Linked DNA regions of Danio rerio. The protein of the gene in region 1 purifies or fractionates together with the protein of each later gene. This does not show direct contact. Links are inferred from orthologs where the notes say so. Each region holds a gene or a part of one and is shown on either strand. Other genes may lie near its edges.

Evidence for each region.
Region 2: the proteins of otud5b (region 1) and supt16h purify together in Homo sapiens (affinity purification with mass spectrometry; 3 studies listed by BioGRID, with this or other methods). This does not show direct contact. The link is inferred for Danio rerio from reciprocal best matches to the Homo sapiens genes OTUD5 and SUPT16H.
Region 3: the proteins of otud5b (region 1) and slc7a11 purify together in Homo sapiens (affinity purification with western blotting; 3 studies listed by BioGRID, with this or other methods). This does not show direct contact. The link is inferred for Danio rerio from reciprocal best matches to the Homo sapiens genes OTUD5 and SLC7A11.
Region 4: the proteins of otud5b (region 1) and cdk4 purify together in Homo sapiens (affinity purification with mass spectrometry, with the first as the bait; 4 studies listed by BioGRID). This does not show direct contact. The link is inferred for Danio rerio from reciprocal best matches to the Homo sapiens genes OTUD5 and CDK4.

What each region holds. Positions count from the first base shown.
Region 1 is NC_133186.1:27,753,137-27,757,392, forward strand, and holds the start of otud5b (OTU domain-containing protein 5b), read left to right. Parts: upstream 1-1,419; 5' UTR 1,420-1,657; coding exon 1,658-2,194; intron 2,195-2,896; coding exon 2,897-2,990; intron 2,991-4,256. UniProt on the Homo sapiens protein: Deubiquitinating enzyme that functions as a negative regulator of the innate immune system. Has peptidase activity towards 'Lys-48'- and 'Lys-63'-linked polyubiquitin chains. Can also cleave 'Lys-11'-linked ubiquitin chains (in vitro).
Region 2 is NC_133182.1:2,043,898-2,048,177, forward strand, and holds the start of supt16h (FACT complex subunit SPT16), read left to right. Parts: upstream 1-1,428; 5' UTR 1,429-1,702; coding exon 1,703-1,768; intron 1,769-4,280. UniProt on the Homo sapiens protein: Component of the FACT complex, a general chromatin factor that acts to reorganize nucleosomes. The FACT complex is involved in multiple processes that require DNA as a template such as mRNA elongation, DNA replication and DNA repair.
Region 3 is NC_133189.1:46,490,532-46,494,098, forward strand, and holds part of slc7a11 (cystine/glutamate transporter), read left to right. Parts: intron 1-3,008; coding exon 3,009-3,135; intron 3,136-3,567. UniProt on the Homo sapiens protein: Heterodimer with SLC3A2, that functions as an antiporter by mediating the exchange of extracellular anionic L-cystine and intracellular L-glutamate across the cellular plasma membrane.
Region 4 is NC_133186.1:164,497-168,588, reverse strand, and holds the start of cdk4 (cyclin-dependent kinase 4), read left to right. Parts: upstream 1-1,244; 5' UTR 1,245-1,245; exon of another isoform or gene 1,246-1,549; intron 1,550-3,276; exon of another isoform or gene 3,277-3,482; intron 3,483-4,092.

The DNA.
Region 1 (4,256 bases):
AGAGAGAGAGAGAGAAAGAGATTTTGTTTTACAAAAACTTTATTACATTAAAACAGACACAATATTACTATAAATTAGTCCATTCAATTTAAATCAAAGAAAAACTATACATTTCAAATAAGTGTAAAAACAACATTGCTTTCATCTACGCAACACAAAGCATTATTATAGCACCAAATATTTTCGAAAGTTTCCAAATCATCCATTTGTATATAGTAACTAAACTCTTGCTTGAAGAGAGACAGACTCTTGCTTGAAGAGAGAGAGAGAGATAGAGATAGATAGACAGACAGACAGACAGACAGACAGACAGACAGACACAGACAGACAGACAGACAGACAGACAGACAGACAGACAGACAGACAGACAGATAGATAGATAGATAGATAGATAGATAGATAGATAGATAGATAGATAGATAGATAGATAGATAGATAGATAGATAGATAGATAGATAGATAGATAGATAGTGTAAATATAAAGAAAAAGCTCAACAAAATAAAGAAGTTGATTTAAGTGTGCTTCACGTGCTGAAAGAGAAGCCAAAATACTTTGATTGCCCCCTGGTGGCCGGCTGCAGTACAGCTCATAAACCACACACTCTCACTGTAAACTTATGGGACATGATTTTTATAACACTTATTTTTTCCCAAAATAGTTTTTGACATTTTTATTAGCTTCTTTATGCTGATGTTTATCAAATTGCAAGTATTTAGTTAAATGTTGCTGTAGAAATGGAGTGTGGTGGATTGAGTGCTTGTGATTGGATCTAGCTTTGGTACCTGCTGTGCAGACTTTTGGCTTCATTTTCTTAAATTTAATTAATTATTTTTCAACAGCAGAAGTAAATGTAGATGCATCGATCCGAGGTTGCCACAGCGGAATTAACTTATTCAGCGCGTTTTACGCAGCGGATGCCCTTCCAGCCGCAACAAATCACTGGGAAACATCCATAAACACTCATTCACACACTCATACACTATGGAGCATTTCACCTGTACCGGATGTCTTTGGACTTGTGAGGGAAACCAAAGCACCCGAAGGAAACACACTTGAACATGGGGAGAAAATGCAAACTCCACACAGAATCACCAACTGACCCAGCCGATGCTCGAACCAGCAACCTTCTTGCTGTGAGGTGAACGTGCTACCCACTGCGTTGCCAGAATCAAGATTCAGCAGGGGAGAATGACAGATTAGAGACGTAATAGTCCACCAACTGCTATATTTAACCCAGCAACAGAAATAAACGTTAAATAGACAACTAAAGGTATAAAAGGCTCTTGAAAATATATAAAACACTCACACTGGCTCACTGGGTTAAAATAAGTCAATAGAAGGGTTAATGCATTAGGGGGCAGTGAGGAGCAACGTCAGCCCATTTGTCAACACGAAGCAGCTCGAGCGTCGGAAGTGACGTGAAAATCGCATTGTGGTTTGTTGATGTTTGTGTCAAACTCTCGGTCGTTCGTTGTTACTAAAGAAAAACCTCGAAACCGGAGGAATAAAGTCGAACTGTGGTGATTGTAGCAGTTCACTGACACCTCGTATTATGCAACTATACATGCGGCGAACAAACTGTTCATAAAAAATCAAAACGGCCGTTTATTCTATTGCGAACTCGCAACAACACAAATCACCGCAAGCTGGCCAGCGATGACAATCCTCCCGAAGAAGAAACCGGTGTCCGCAGGCGGTGGCGGTGATCACACGGACGAACCGGACAGAAGAGGTGGCTCTGAGACGCACCCTCACCCCCTCGCGGGACGACCGGGGTCCCGATCAAGGGCCTCTCCGCCGCCGTGGACATACCAGGCCACACCGCACACTTCCAGAGAGGAGCGGCGGATCGAAGCAAGCGCTCGCCCGCAGGCGGCCTCCCCGCAACCTGGTATCGCTGGAGCTCCGCTCGTGCAGTGTGAAGGAAGCGCGAACTCGGGAACTCGGGTCGAGTTACCGTGCGGAGCAGGCGGTGTCGGAAGCTGCTGCTCGGGACCCGGACTCAGCAAGCGCAGACGGCAAGCGGTCTGCTCCAGCGGTTTGACAGGTGGAGGAGGGAGAGTGGGCGGCGGAGGAGGAGGAGGCGGGAGTCCAGCGTCCGAACCCGAGGAAGGAGCTGGAGGAAACAACAGTGAGGATGAGTATGAGAATGCGGCCAGACTTCAGCTTGTGGACCCCGCCACAGCCGAGCAGGTATGTTGATGTGTCATTCTTTAAAACATTAATTGAATAAATAGCTGCTGCTCCAGTAATTGATAGAAAGGTTTAATACCTTCTCTTGTCTTTATTGGCTGTTATATATCAAATTATTATGTAAATATTGTAATACATTAGTGTGTTTAAATCTCTACAATGTCTCTACAGTCTCTCTACAAGGGTAAAGACTCAATCACATTTTTACAATGAGGCCTATTTAGTTTATCAGTTCACCTTGACCAGTTCTTTGGACTGTGGGGGAAACCAGATCACTCAGAGGAAGCCTACCCAAACATAGGGAGAACATGCAAACTCCACACAGAAATGCCAACTGGCCAGGCTGGGACTCGAACCAGTGACCTTTTTGCTGTGAGGCGACAGTGCTACCCACTGAGCCACTGTGTCACCCAGATATTGGCCATTTCTAGTCTAATGTATTCAATGACTAAGAAAATTAGGATTTTTAATGTATGACTTGTTTTTATTTCTGTCTGAATTGTCTGCAGATTTTCTCTGGATTTGTATATCAAAAAAATAAATCTGTTTAGTGTGTAACAAAAGGTGACATTTACATGTTTGAGCGAACGCTCAAAACACTATTATTTTTAGGGTTCAAATGTTTTATTTGGATGCTTTGTCTGTTTTTGGTGATACAAGTATTCATTGTTGCTGTAATGTACTTTGTTTTTTGGCCTACAGCAAGAAGAATGGTTTGAGAAAGCATTGAGGGAAAAGAAAGGCTTTGAAATAAAAAAAATGAAGGAAGATGGAGCGTGTCTTTTCAGAGCAGTTGGTAATGTTGCAAATTAAATTTTTTTTTTTTGAGTTCCATATATATTATGAGCTGAAATAATATTTTCCGTGTTGGAGTAATCATGGAAATAAATGTATTCAAATAATAAACAGTGTATAATTTATTTTGTTTGCGTTTTATATTGTGTTAGCAAGAGGTGTAACAGATCACTGTTGATTCCTGATTGGTATGGATCATATCCCATGGTTCGGAACGCACACATTAAAATACTTTTTTTAGTGGTAGATTAATCATAAATTTGTAATGGTCACAGAGAGATCGCCTCTAGCGTCATTCAAATCACATGTATAAAAAGATTTAGGCTTTCCTGTAAATATAATGATAAGTCGTGTTAGGTTATTCAGGATGTGGTGTTTTTTTAAGGTTATTAAAAGTGTTTTCTTTAATTTTTTTGTTTAGCCTGCATTAATCCATTCAGTGTAAGCAGCACTATTAATCATTAAAAGATCGGGATCTTAGCACCCATGCAACATCAATTATAAATGATGGTGATTTGCATAGGTTTATTAACCCTTCGAATCACCAAATTGAAATCTGTGCTTGAAAAATGCAAAAATCAAGAAAGAGATTCAGTTTTTAGTCTTTTGACTGTTACAAACAGGCAAATAACACAGAAGTACTCGGATAATAGTTTATAGTTTAGATGAAAACACTGATGTTTATGGTAAAGATTAAAATCACTGTCATTTGTTTAAAAATGAAAGTTGTAAACAGCAATTACATTATTTAACCAATAGGTAGCCAACCAACCAGCCATCAAAAATATGCCACTGAATAATTCTTCAAAAATGACACATATGGTAATGAAACATGAAGTTTTATTAGTAAATAACTGCATCATTTATTGAAAATGAGACTAAAAATAAATATGAATTGCACAAATAATGTTAGATTTCTATGTGTAGCGTTATCAGCTACAGTAGTAGTAACAGGGAATTTTTCACAGTACTGAATATTTTACTATTTATTTTTATTGAGCTGATTATTTCTATATTTTATTTTTAATAAAATTACAGGTTCTAGGTTCTGTTTGCTAAAACCAAAAGTTTCTTGCAGTACTGTTTTTGTAATAAATGGAAAGCATATTACATTTGTCTCCTCCCCTTTTTGGCTGATCCGAAAAATGGTCCGATCCATGACTAAAAGGTCATAATGTGATCTGAACCGTGAGATTTGTGATCCGTTACACCATTAGTGTTAGTACCTTTCTAAGTGCAGTCTCTACAAAATGATTTAACAATTTTT
Region 2 (4,280 bases), on another chromosome or scaffold:
ATTTAAATGTTACAATTTTTTTTATTTATTATTTAAATGTTAAAATAAAATCTAATTTATTATTTAAATGTTAAAATAAAAATGTATTATTTAATTGTTAAAATTAATTGAATTATTTAAATGTTAAAATAAAATGTAATTTATTATTTAAATGTTAAAATTAATTTTAATTTATTATTTAAATGTTAAAATAAAATCTAGTTTATTATTTAAATGTTACAATAAAATGTAATTTATTATTTAAATGTTAAAATAAAATGTAATTTATTATTTTTCATGTTAAAATTAATTTTAATTTATCATTTAAATGTTAAAATAAAATGCAATTTATTATTTAAATGTTACTATAAAATGTAATTTATTATTTAAATGATAAAATAAAATTGTATTTATTATTTAAATGTTACAATAAAATGTAATTTATTGTTTAAATGATAAAATAAAATTTTATTTATTATTTAAATTTTACAATAAAATGTAATTTATTGTTTAAATGATAAAATAAAATTTTATTTATTATTTAAATTTTACAATAAAATGTAATTTATTGTTTAAATGATAAAATAAAATTGTATTTATTATTTAAATGTTAAAATAAAATGAAATTTATTATTTAAATGTTAAAATAAAATTTTATATATTATTTAAATGTTAGAATTAATTTAAATGTATTATTTAAATGTTTAAAAAAACTAATGGAATATTTCAATAATCATCTAATTGTTATTTTGTTACCCACTTATTTTTTCCCAAAAAAACCCCACAGAGAAATATAATGGAGACTGTAAATAATTCAGCGCTCTCCTCACTCTGCTTCAAGCGCGCCAAACCCACGTGCTCTGCTGGAGTTCGCGCGCTTTTAAGTGACACTAGATGGCGGGAAAGAAGCCGTGCGCGTGAACGTCAAGAACGCGATGAGGTTCCCTCCAGGGCGGGGATTTCAAGACAGAGCTCATCACGTGACCACATTAACGTAGATTTTATTGGACGTATCCTACATGACGTCACTGCCAGGGCGGGAGTTTTCCGTGAGGGAGGGAAACGCAGGAAAACAAAAGCGTAATAAACACCGCACATGCGATTAAAATCCAACCTACATGCGGATATAGTTACTAAACAAGCACAGATGCCCGTCTCGTGTGTAGCTTGAGCTCAGCATTTTGAACTTTTTGGATGATCACGATGTTTAGCACATAATAACAATTGAACATTTGTAAACAGTCACAAAATGGCAGCATAATTAAATAAATATATGCATTTATAATTGAAATAAATAAATAATAATTAAATGGACAGCCTACAAGTTTGTGAAGTAAGCTAGATGTGCTCAAAATGAACGCGTGTTTTAATAAATGGAAATAAATGTTAAAGGGACGCGTATATATGAGAGGGGGCGGGGCTTCAGCGGACGCACATGCGTGATTATTCACTGCATTCACAGCGCGAAAGAGACCGACAGCACTTATAACGGCACTCAGGCATTTTAAACCGTAGTAACCGTCTTTTTAAAATTTGAATTTGAATATTTTTGAATTTGTCTCGCCGTCGTTATTTTTCTGAGCGTGTATCGAGTGTGTCGTGCTGTGAAGAACAGAAACAGTAGAGTGAAAGTGTGTATAAGTGTGTGTGAGTGAGTGAGAGTGTGTGTGTGTGTGCGTGCGCGCGCGCTGCTGGACTTCAGTGTGTGTGTTGATGTGATATTATGGCGGTGAGTCTGGATAAAGACGCTTTTTACCGCCGCATCAAGCGACTCTACGGCAACTGGAAGGTACGGAGAGCTCAGTGTGTGTCATAAACACCACAACATCTGATTATTGATCATATTCGATCATATTTATCCATATCTGATGTGTTTATGTGCGTCTTTGATGCTGAAATCCTCTCTCACACACATCTCAGGCCTCAGCTCTACAGAACTGTTAACGTTATATAAACACACTCCGCCGGTTGAGTTCGTGTTTTAGTGTTTATGGTGTGATTTCTGTTCGTTTATTAAGAAATAACTCAACTTTGCTGTTATTTTGAACGTTCATGTGTTGATTAGCGCAGCGGCTAACTGGTTAGCATGCTAGCATGTAATGCTTCCAGTTTTCACGTAATTTCCGCCTCATAATAAATCTCGTGTGTAGCATAAACACACGTTAAACACACAGACAGTGTGTTTCGTTCATGTTCTTGTATTGGTTTATGGCTGGTGTGTTTTTCGAGGATGCAGAAGTTGTGTGAGATGTAGCATGTAAGCTAGCTTAGCTCGTACTAAGACATGCTGCAGGTGGGAAACAGAACTGTTAGCATCAACTTAAGTGTTACTTTGTTGTAAACTTGAGTCTAAATTGTGTTTAAAGGGTCTGATGACTCGTTTCCTGAAGAAAATTATTGTGCTTTATGCTTATTGTTTTACATATGAAGGGTTTAGATGCAAAAACCTATCAAAGACATCTGATATTTTCTTCTAAAATGACCATTTTTCTCCAACTCCTGTGTTTAGGCTAGGTAATTTTACTTTAATAGTGACAAATAAGTTATTAACATTGCCTTTAAAGTGAAAAAAACTGAACATAAACAAGAGGCTGAAATAAATGTTCAGTTTAGGAGAACATCTCAGATAGCTTTGAGGTTTTTGCATCTGAACTCTTCATATATTCTATAATCACTTCGCTATAATATGATACCCTGGACCACAAAACCAGTCAGAACTGTGTGGTTAAGTTAACTGAGATGTAAACATGATCTGAAAGCTGAACAAAGCTGCCTGGTAATGTGTGGTTTGTTAGAAAATATACAAAATATAGCACTTCTGATGCGCAACCATTGAAAAATCTGAATAGAGGTGAAGTTGGTTTTATATTGGGATATTCAGACATTCTCCTTAATATAATTTCAGGAAAGTGTTTTTTGCAAATTTTAAATAGGGAAATCATATTAGCAGCAAATTAATATCAAAGTGCAACACTGTTTACAGTCAATTAGATAGTGTTACTGTTATTTTGAAGTCATACTTGCATGCTAATTCCAATCGAATATTCAAAGTAACAGGGAAAACAATATAGAGACTTCTAAATGAATGAATGTGTGAACCAACTTTACCTCTATGAAATTTGAGGGATCAAGTACAGGGTTTCATAGAGGTAAGGTAGTTTTTTTATATTCACACATTCGTTCATTTAGCAGTCTCTATATTGTTTATTATGTTAATTTAAACATTCGATCAGAATTAGCATGCAAGTATGACTTCTAAACAACATTAACACCGTCTAATTGACTGTAAACAGTGTTGTACTTTGATAGTCTTTGGTCGCTTGTATTATTTCTTTATTTAGAATTAGCAAAGAATACTTTTCTGAAAATTATATTATTAAGAAGAATGTCTGAATATCTGAATATAAAACTAACTGCACTTCTATCAGGGTTTCTGAGAGGTCTAAAAGTCTTCAAATGTCTTAAATATCAAAATCCAGATTTTAATCTTTGAAGTCTTAAATTTACTACAATATTGTGTTGTAGGTCTTAAATTATTTTTTTTTTAAACAGGTCTAAATTTCCTTTGTTCAACTATTGCTGCTCAATCTGGCCCAAACCCATACATTCACCAACAATCATCTCAATATAACTTTAAACTTTATTTAAAAGGTAATTTTTGAAACTTTATCATAATGGTTTAGTTACTTTCCTTACAATAACATGTTTAAATGTTCTCCTGAGTACACCGACCTGGACAGACTGTTGCCAATGGATTTTGTTTATTATAGTTTTCAAACCGTTTGTTCATTTTTTTATTTTAAAGAAATATTATGTTCGGGGAAAAAAAAGTGTATGGAGACAAGCAGAGCTTGCTTGTTTTTACACAATATTTAAAACATTTAGCTAAGAAATAAAATCTAAAGTATATAAATTGTTTATTATTACTGTATTATTAAATGTATTAAATTGTAATAAATGTTTTTGATAGGTCAAATAATTTTTTTTTTTCCATCTGGGCCATTTGAAAAATTCCTTAGCCTTTAGCCCTTTGTAAGTCTAAAATTTCATTCATAATGGTCTTAAAAATATCTCAGTCTTAAATTTAATATACCACTTCTGATGTGCAACTTTTGAAAATCTGATATCTGAGGCATCGACTACAGAGTTTCTGCGAGGTCTTCAAATGTCTTATATCTCAAAATCCAGATTTTAGGCTTTTTTAATATTTTTGATGGGTCAAATAAAAATATTTTCCACCTGGGCCATTTGAAAAATTCTTTAGTGTTTAGCCCTTTATGTGTCTAAAATTTCATTAATAA
Region 3 (3,567 bases), on another chromosome or scaffold:
AGCTGTTCTCTTCCACACAATGAAAGTAAATGTAGACAACAGGCTGACAAAAAATGACAAAAAAAGTGTGATCAAACTCTTCTGAAGCACTTTTATAGTTGCATAGTGTGAGGAACAGAGAAATTTAGGTTTTTATTCACAAAGAAATAAAAATAAACAATAAGAATAAATAATAATAATAATAATCTTTAAAAAATTGGCATGATCACACACACAATAACTATAATGAATATCAACATACAGTTGATGTCAATATTATTATGCATCCTGTGATTTTCTTTTTCTCTTTTTCAAACATTTGCCAAATGGTGTTTATCAAAACAAAGGAATTTGTCACAGTATTTCCTATAATATTTTTTTCTTCTGGTGAAACTTTACTTGTTTTGTTTTGGCTAGAATAAAAGCAGCTTTTATTATTATTTTTAAATCATTTTAAGGTCAATATTATTAGCCTCCTTAAGCAATGTTTGTTTTTCAGATTGTCTATACAGTATAAAACAAACTATTATGTTTAGAAATGTTTCTGAAAAAAACAGAAATTGGTGAAAAAAATATTTTAGGGAGGATTTGTTTATTTATTTATTTAATTGATTGATTGATTTATTTATTTATTTTATTTATAGGAAGGGCAAATTATTCAGGAGGGCTAATGATTCTTACTTTTACTGTATATGCTCTTATTTATTTATTTATTTAATCACAGGATTAACTAAATGACTAATATCACATTTAGAAGAATGAGAATGTCTATTTTGAATTACAGTACTGAGGACAAAGCTGTGTGTCCAAAAAGTAAATGTAATCAATGTCTTGGATAAGGTGCTCATTGCTTACATTGCAAAATTACATATTAATCATTTCCCCAAAGTCAAGTTTAAAAACTCCCACCGACAAGTCATAAAATATAATTTGTCATATATCATCTATAATAATAATGATGATGATGACGATGATGATGATAATAATATTATTAATAATAATAATAATAATAATAATAATAATAATAATAACGTATACTTTTCTGCTTACTAGCAATCCTTTATGTCAAATAAAATTGGTTAATGTGACATTATTGACCATTTTAGTAGTTTAAAACAATAAATTGTATGTAACAGCATCTCTTTCTGTTATTTTATTATTGTAATATTGTACTCCTGTCAGCTCAGAAATCAATAGCTTAAAATTGCAAGGATAAATACATGGAAAACAAATGTGAACCACAAATATGGGTGAATGATAATTAATGGGAAAACATGTGTTAAAATATTCCATTTTTTTATATTGTTTGTATATGTGTATATATTAGTGTATGCATATATTCATAGTTAATTTCTACATATACAGTGCTCAGCATTTATGAGTACACTCCATTTTGAAATTTTTTTTTTTTTTCTCATTGAATTTGGATAATATATATTGGTGGAATTAAACAAAACAGATTTATTAAATAGATATTTTTATTAAAATAATATTTTAGTCAGAGAACATCTTTGGAAATGGAAAGACACGACATTTAAATTCATGCAAAATAATGCAAAAAATACAAACTACAACATTTCAACTTATATTTATATATCTTTTGTTGCACAATATCATTTGTGCTATTTTTGAAAATTATGTTTTATATTTTCCCCTAACATTTAAAAATGGGTGTACACATATTTTTGCACCATTACAAGTTATTTTGTTAGATTAGCTCCAGATATGGCTTCAGTTGTGGCTAAACTAATAAATAAGCACAATTGTAATATTGTGAAGATTCCTATATAAAATATTAATTTAAGTGAGAGATTTGTAAGGGTGTTTGCATACTGTATATGCTGAGCACTGTACATGCACTACAGATAATTAAAGTATATTAAATAAAGATGTCATTAGGGTGTCTCCTTTTCAAAAGATACAGGTTTTTACTTTTTAGTTACTAGTTTGTACACTTTATGCAAGTAATAAATTAAAAAATGCATGATTGTATGGCTTTGCAATCCAAAAATGTCATTAGAATGGAAGTCAATGGGGCAAAAACAGCCACTGACATAATAAAAGAGTAGTAAATTTGAGTGTTTTGTTGGATTTTTTTTTTTACATTTTCAAAGCATTTTCCCCAAATGGGTGTCAAAATAAGATGTCACAAAAAAAGCATTCCATTTGCTGAAACACAGAAAAAAATGGTGGCCAAAATTAAGACTCAAAATCCCCCCAGAGTTGATGAAAACATCCCCAACAGCACACAAGAGTTAAAAAAAAATCAATACATTACTAAAGACTCCAGGTTTTGCTGATAGTCACTAAGAAAGAAACCCGGTTTATGCATGAAGAACCTTGACTCATGACCTCTCTAATGCGTAATGTGTGCATCCGTGCTTGATGGAGGCCGATATTGTCTTACGCTGCACTTTGATGCTGAGGAGAGCACAGTCTGACACCGCGAAGGCTGACGGGTGTCGGAGAAGAATTAGTTTGTGTATAAGAAGAGCATTGTTTGACAGTGTGTTTATTCATGTGTATGTCAGGAGTCATTTCACACTTGTCAGCTTTCCTTTGTGTGCAGCAGCCCGCAGGCTTTGAGGAAAAGCCAAGCCGCGGTTCAAAAAAAATAATAATAAAAAACTGTCCATTCATCCACTATTTCTCTCTGAGAGACTTCAGATCTGCATTGTGAACTCTTAATGTATTTTAGAGCTCTCTTTACAATTGCGTTTTGAAGCTCACAGGAGTCAAGGGCTGCAAGAGAAGAAGGGCTTTGATTCCGAGCATTCGTTAAAACATTAAAATGCATAGAGCTGTAAAGAGCTTGACCTCTCAGAGAGCGAACAGATGGTGGTAATGAACTGACTTAACCATGTGCCTTTAGGGTTGCTTTGCAGGTGTTGTAAAATTCTTTCCACCTTTCTGAATAGTCATGGCACTCACTTTCCAGCACTGGCCATTGTCCAGACACTATCACCTCATTTTGCTAAAGTAAGGTATTCATTTTTTTCCTGACTAGTTCTTTCCTTTGTCCATTTCAGGAGCTTTATCGTATGCTGAGCTGGGTACCTGCATTAAAAAGTCTGGTGGTCATTACACGTACATTCTGGAGGCGTTTGGGCCACAAGTGGCTTTTGTGCGATTGTGGGCCGACATGATTGCCATAAGGTCAGTAAATCCTCATTCATCCTCCGTCTTCATCGTCGAGTCTCTGGAGCGCTGCCAGAATAAACAAACGCAATCCGTGTTACACTGCAAATAAACACAAGCAAACTCTCCCTGATGAAGGCTACCGCTCAATATTACTGCTGGCCTCTAGTAGATAAAAAAAAAAAAACATGAGATGAAGTGCTTTGTGGCAATGAGCGAAACATCATGGAGACTCTCACGCAAAGGATCAAGGCCTGGATTCATATGTAATCACAATATACCATGAAGAGTAAAATCTGTAGATGAAACGAATTTGACTTGAATAGAGGGTAAAACATGGGAAAGCTTCAACTATGGTTACTTTACTTGAGACATTCTGTAGCCTATGGCCCTACACTAAAATAATATGCACCCAAAAAATGATGTTCGCAAATTAAAATCAGCTGAAAC
Region 4 (4,092 bases), about 28 Mb from region 1:
TGATGACTTTTACAAATTAGTGATGACCTTTGGGAGACTAGTTATGATCTTTACATAATAGTAATGGCCTTTGAGAGACTAGCAATGACCTTTATAGACTAGTGATGACCTTAGGGAGACGTGAGATGACCTTTGAGACCACTGTTATGCTGACAATACACTCTATATCTCCTTATAACCCGATAATAAGTTTTAATCATTATATGAGATGCGCCATCCTGAGAACAATAACACCTGTTGATGCCTAGTCTGTCAAAGTTCACCACAACATGCTTTTGAAGTCAAACACAGCAATGAAAGACTGATGGAGAGACGAGGATTTGGACTGAGAAGACACAGGTGTAAACAATTAGCAGGATATCCAACCCTGTACAGCTCATCATAGATTCAGACACTACAGACGACCGCACACACACTGATACGCTGACTTGAGGAATCATGCTTGAGCTCTAGACGCCTTATATGTCTATGTCACATGCCTCCCTACTGTATAGTATGTGAAAAACAGGAGGCGAGCCGAGTGTGTCTGAGTATTGAGTAGTGTGTGTGTGTGTGTGTGTGTGTGTGTGTTATATAGATGGACATGAAACACTGTGTAACACTGTTCTGAAGCTGAGTGTGTGTGTATGTGTGTGTGTGTGTGTGTGTGTGTGTGTGTCTGTCTTTGAGAGAGAGAGAGAAACAGAGATGTGGTTTTCACAGTCCCGTTCACTTCCTGCATGCACTTCCTCTTTCTCTCCAAAACTGACACTCAACATGACTTTCTTCAGAAAACACAAAGCAGAAAACACAGCACAAACTCTCCAAACTACATGAAGAAAACCAGAACAGAAGAGCACACATCATAAACCAATGAAAAACACAGAGCAGTGAAGCCGCTTCCTGCCACTGATGCTGCCATTACGACTCTTTAAGGTGAATAATGCAGGTGTATTATATGAAGAAGACGAGCACGCGTGTCTGAACAGCTGTACACAGAGCAGTTCTCAGAGCAGACAGACATATCCCTCATTTCTAAGATCTGTTAGACTACACCGGACACTGTTTCCAGCATCGCTCAGTCAGGTCCACAGTGAGGAGCAGCAGGAACGTATAAAGCAGAGGGTTTCAGCGTGTGGATCTGGACTGAGGACTTCAGAAGCGGCTCCGCTCACCTTCTTGATGTGGTTGATGCGCACCAGCACACCCTGCCCACGGTCACGGAGGATCAGCAGCTTCTCCGCCAGTTTCAGCTGGTAGGCCATGGTGAGTGTGTGTGAGTGTGTGTGTGTGTGTGTGTGTGTGCAGACTGAAGAGCTCGGAGATGGAGCAGAAGTGAAATCTACACGTTCAGCAGGCGGAGGCAGCGCTCCACTTCCGCTCTCAGCTTTCTCTAATCTGAGTTCACTGTGTCGATCCTCTCTCGCCCATCACACTCACTGCTCAGTCTGATGAAGTGCCTTTAAAGGGTTAGTTCACACATAACTTTAACACTGTCATCATACACACTTCCTCAGGCATTTCAAACCCTTAATGAGTTTCTTTCTTCAGTTGAACACAAAGGAAAACCTGTAACCATTGACCTCTACAGTATTTATTTTCCTACAATGGAAGTGAATGGCTACAGGTGTTCAACATTCTTCAAAGTATCTTCTGTTCTGGTTGAGTGACGCGTCAGTGTCTGTCCTGAGACTGCACACATTACTGACTCACAGCTGATGTTATGTGCAATCTGAGATTTCAGGATCTAATAACCCTAACACAACCACATCTAACCCAGCACATGATGAGGCCTTCACCTGTCTGTACCTGCTGAGACAGAGGAAACACAACACACACTGCTGACACCTGCTGGACACACACATTTTCATTTAATTTTCTCTCAGGTTAATAAGAGTGTCTGTGGCCTCGCCCTCACAGAAATGCACATTATCATATGCTGATGACGTGTGTTGGTGATGTAGCTTTACTACAAATCAAGAATCTTCATTCATCTATAAGCAGATCAGCACATGGGCTCAGCACTACTGCGCTAAACCTGTGACAAGCAGCACAATACAGAGTCACATCCACAAACACCAGCCAACACTGCACTGTGCCAAGAGGAAGCCCTATGTTAACAGTGTCCAGCAGCGCTTCTCTGGGCTGGGAGGCGTCTGGGATGCAGCATCACACAGTGGAGACGTGTCCTGTGCTCAGATGAAGCAGTGTTTCAGGTGTTTCTGGGAGAAATGGACGCCGTGTGCTCCACACCAAAGAAGAAGAGGATCATCCAGACTGACACCAGCAACACGTCCAGCAGCCCGGCTCTGTCATGGTCTGGGGTTGTGTCGGTGCTCTTGGCGAAGGTGACCTGCTCTTCTGTGATGCTCCAGAGGAGACAGACGCTGGACTGACCTGCCTGCAGTCCTGACCTGTCTCCAATAGAGAATGTGTGGCGCTGTACTGTTGCCTACACTAAGACTTGTTTGCAGGAGGAATGAGACAGAATTATCCCTGAAACACTTCAGCACTCGCCGTCTTCAGTCCCTAAACGTCTCTGAGTGTTGTGAAGAGGAGCGGCAGCATGACAGAGTGGGAAACGCTTCACTGATGCAGCTGTTTCTGAAATGTGTTGCAGGAAACATTCATTTATTTATTTTCTTTTCGGCTTAGTCCCTTTATTAATCTTGGGTCGTCACAGCGGAATGAACCGCCAACTTATCCAGCATATTTTTTACGCAGCGGATGCCCTTCCAGCTGCAACCCATCTCTGGGAAACATCCATACACACTCATACACTACGGACAATTTAGCCTACCCAATTCCCCTATAGCGCATGTGTTTGGACTGTGGGGGAAACCGGAGCACCTGGAGGAAACCCACGCCAACACGGGGAGAACATGCAAACTCCACACAGAAACACCAACTGACCCAGCCGAGACTCAAACCAGCGACCTTCTTGCTGTGAGGCGACAGTGGAACCCAAACTGCAAAGTGTTTATTCAGAAAACACAACATAAATGATGAGGAGCACATTAATCATGTGTGCTGAATTACCTGCAGTCAAACACAACTCACAGCACACGTGTTCACACTCACCCAATGTCTGCTGATGTGGGGATGCAGTTCAAGTCGTTTATTAGGGTAATATTGAGGTTTACTGGTGTAAGTGTGTTAGTGAGGTAAGTTTACTGGTGTAAGTGTGCTAGTGAGGTAAGTTTACTGGTGTAAGTGTGTTAGGTGACTGCTGGAAGTGTGTTGTGATTGGCTGAAGTGTGTGAGGGTCTAGTCGTGTCGCTCCGCCTTGAGATCAAACAGGAAGTGAGTTGAGACAGACTGTGAACAGGCCAGAGTTTCTCACACAAACTTTAATGAGTTAAACTTCTGAAATATGAACTGAAATCCTCAGTCAACAGCAAACTCCGCACAACAGCCCGCATCTGAGCGCCGCGGAGCAGAAGCGATGCGCGCTGCACTCTCATAAACTAGTTTAACTAGCTGTGCACGCGCGGAGAAACGTGGTGAGTGCTCAGAAGTGTGTGTGTGTGTGTGTGTGTGTTCAGTATATACAGTGCTCGTAATGACCCGTGTTATGATGTCTCGATTATGCTGGTTCAGCTCGGTGGATGTGTTTGATGACGTGTTGTTGTTGTTGTGTTGTTGAGTCTGTGAGTGTCGTGATTGTGACTGATGTTGTTCTGCTCCTCCTGGGAATGAGCAGCTCCGGCCAGCACTAACAGCGCTTTACCACAGTTTACCTCATTACAGCGGTGCAGGACACACTCCTCCAGCAGCAGCGGGTAAACACATCCTCACACTGCCGCTGAGCTGAAGAGTGCAGAACACGGAGAAGACAACTGCAGGAGCTCTACTGAACACACACACACACACACACACACACACACATCAATATAAGGAGCCTGTGTGGTGTCATATCAAAGAAAATGTACAGTTATTAAGAAAAACACGCTCTCTTATACTATGAACACAGAGTTAACCTCACTGAAACACTTCTACAATTATCACACACTTATAAACATTAAACAGGAGGGAGGATGAACAGCGCACAGTGGCCAGCTTTACTGATGCACCAAATATATATATATATATTTACATGTTGTGTGTGAGAAG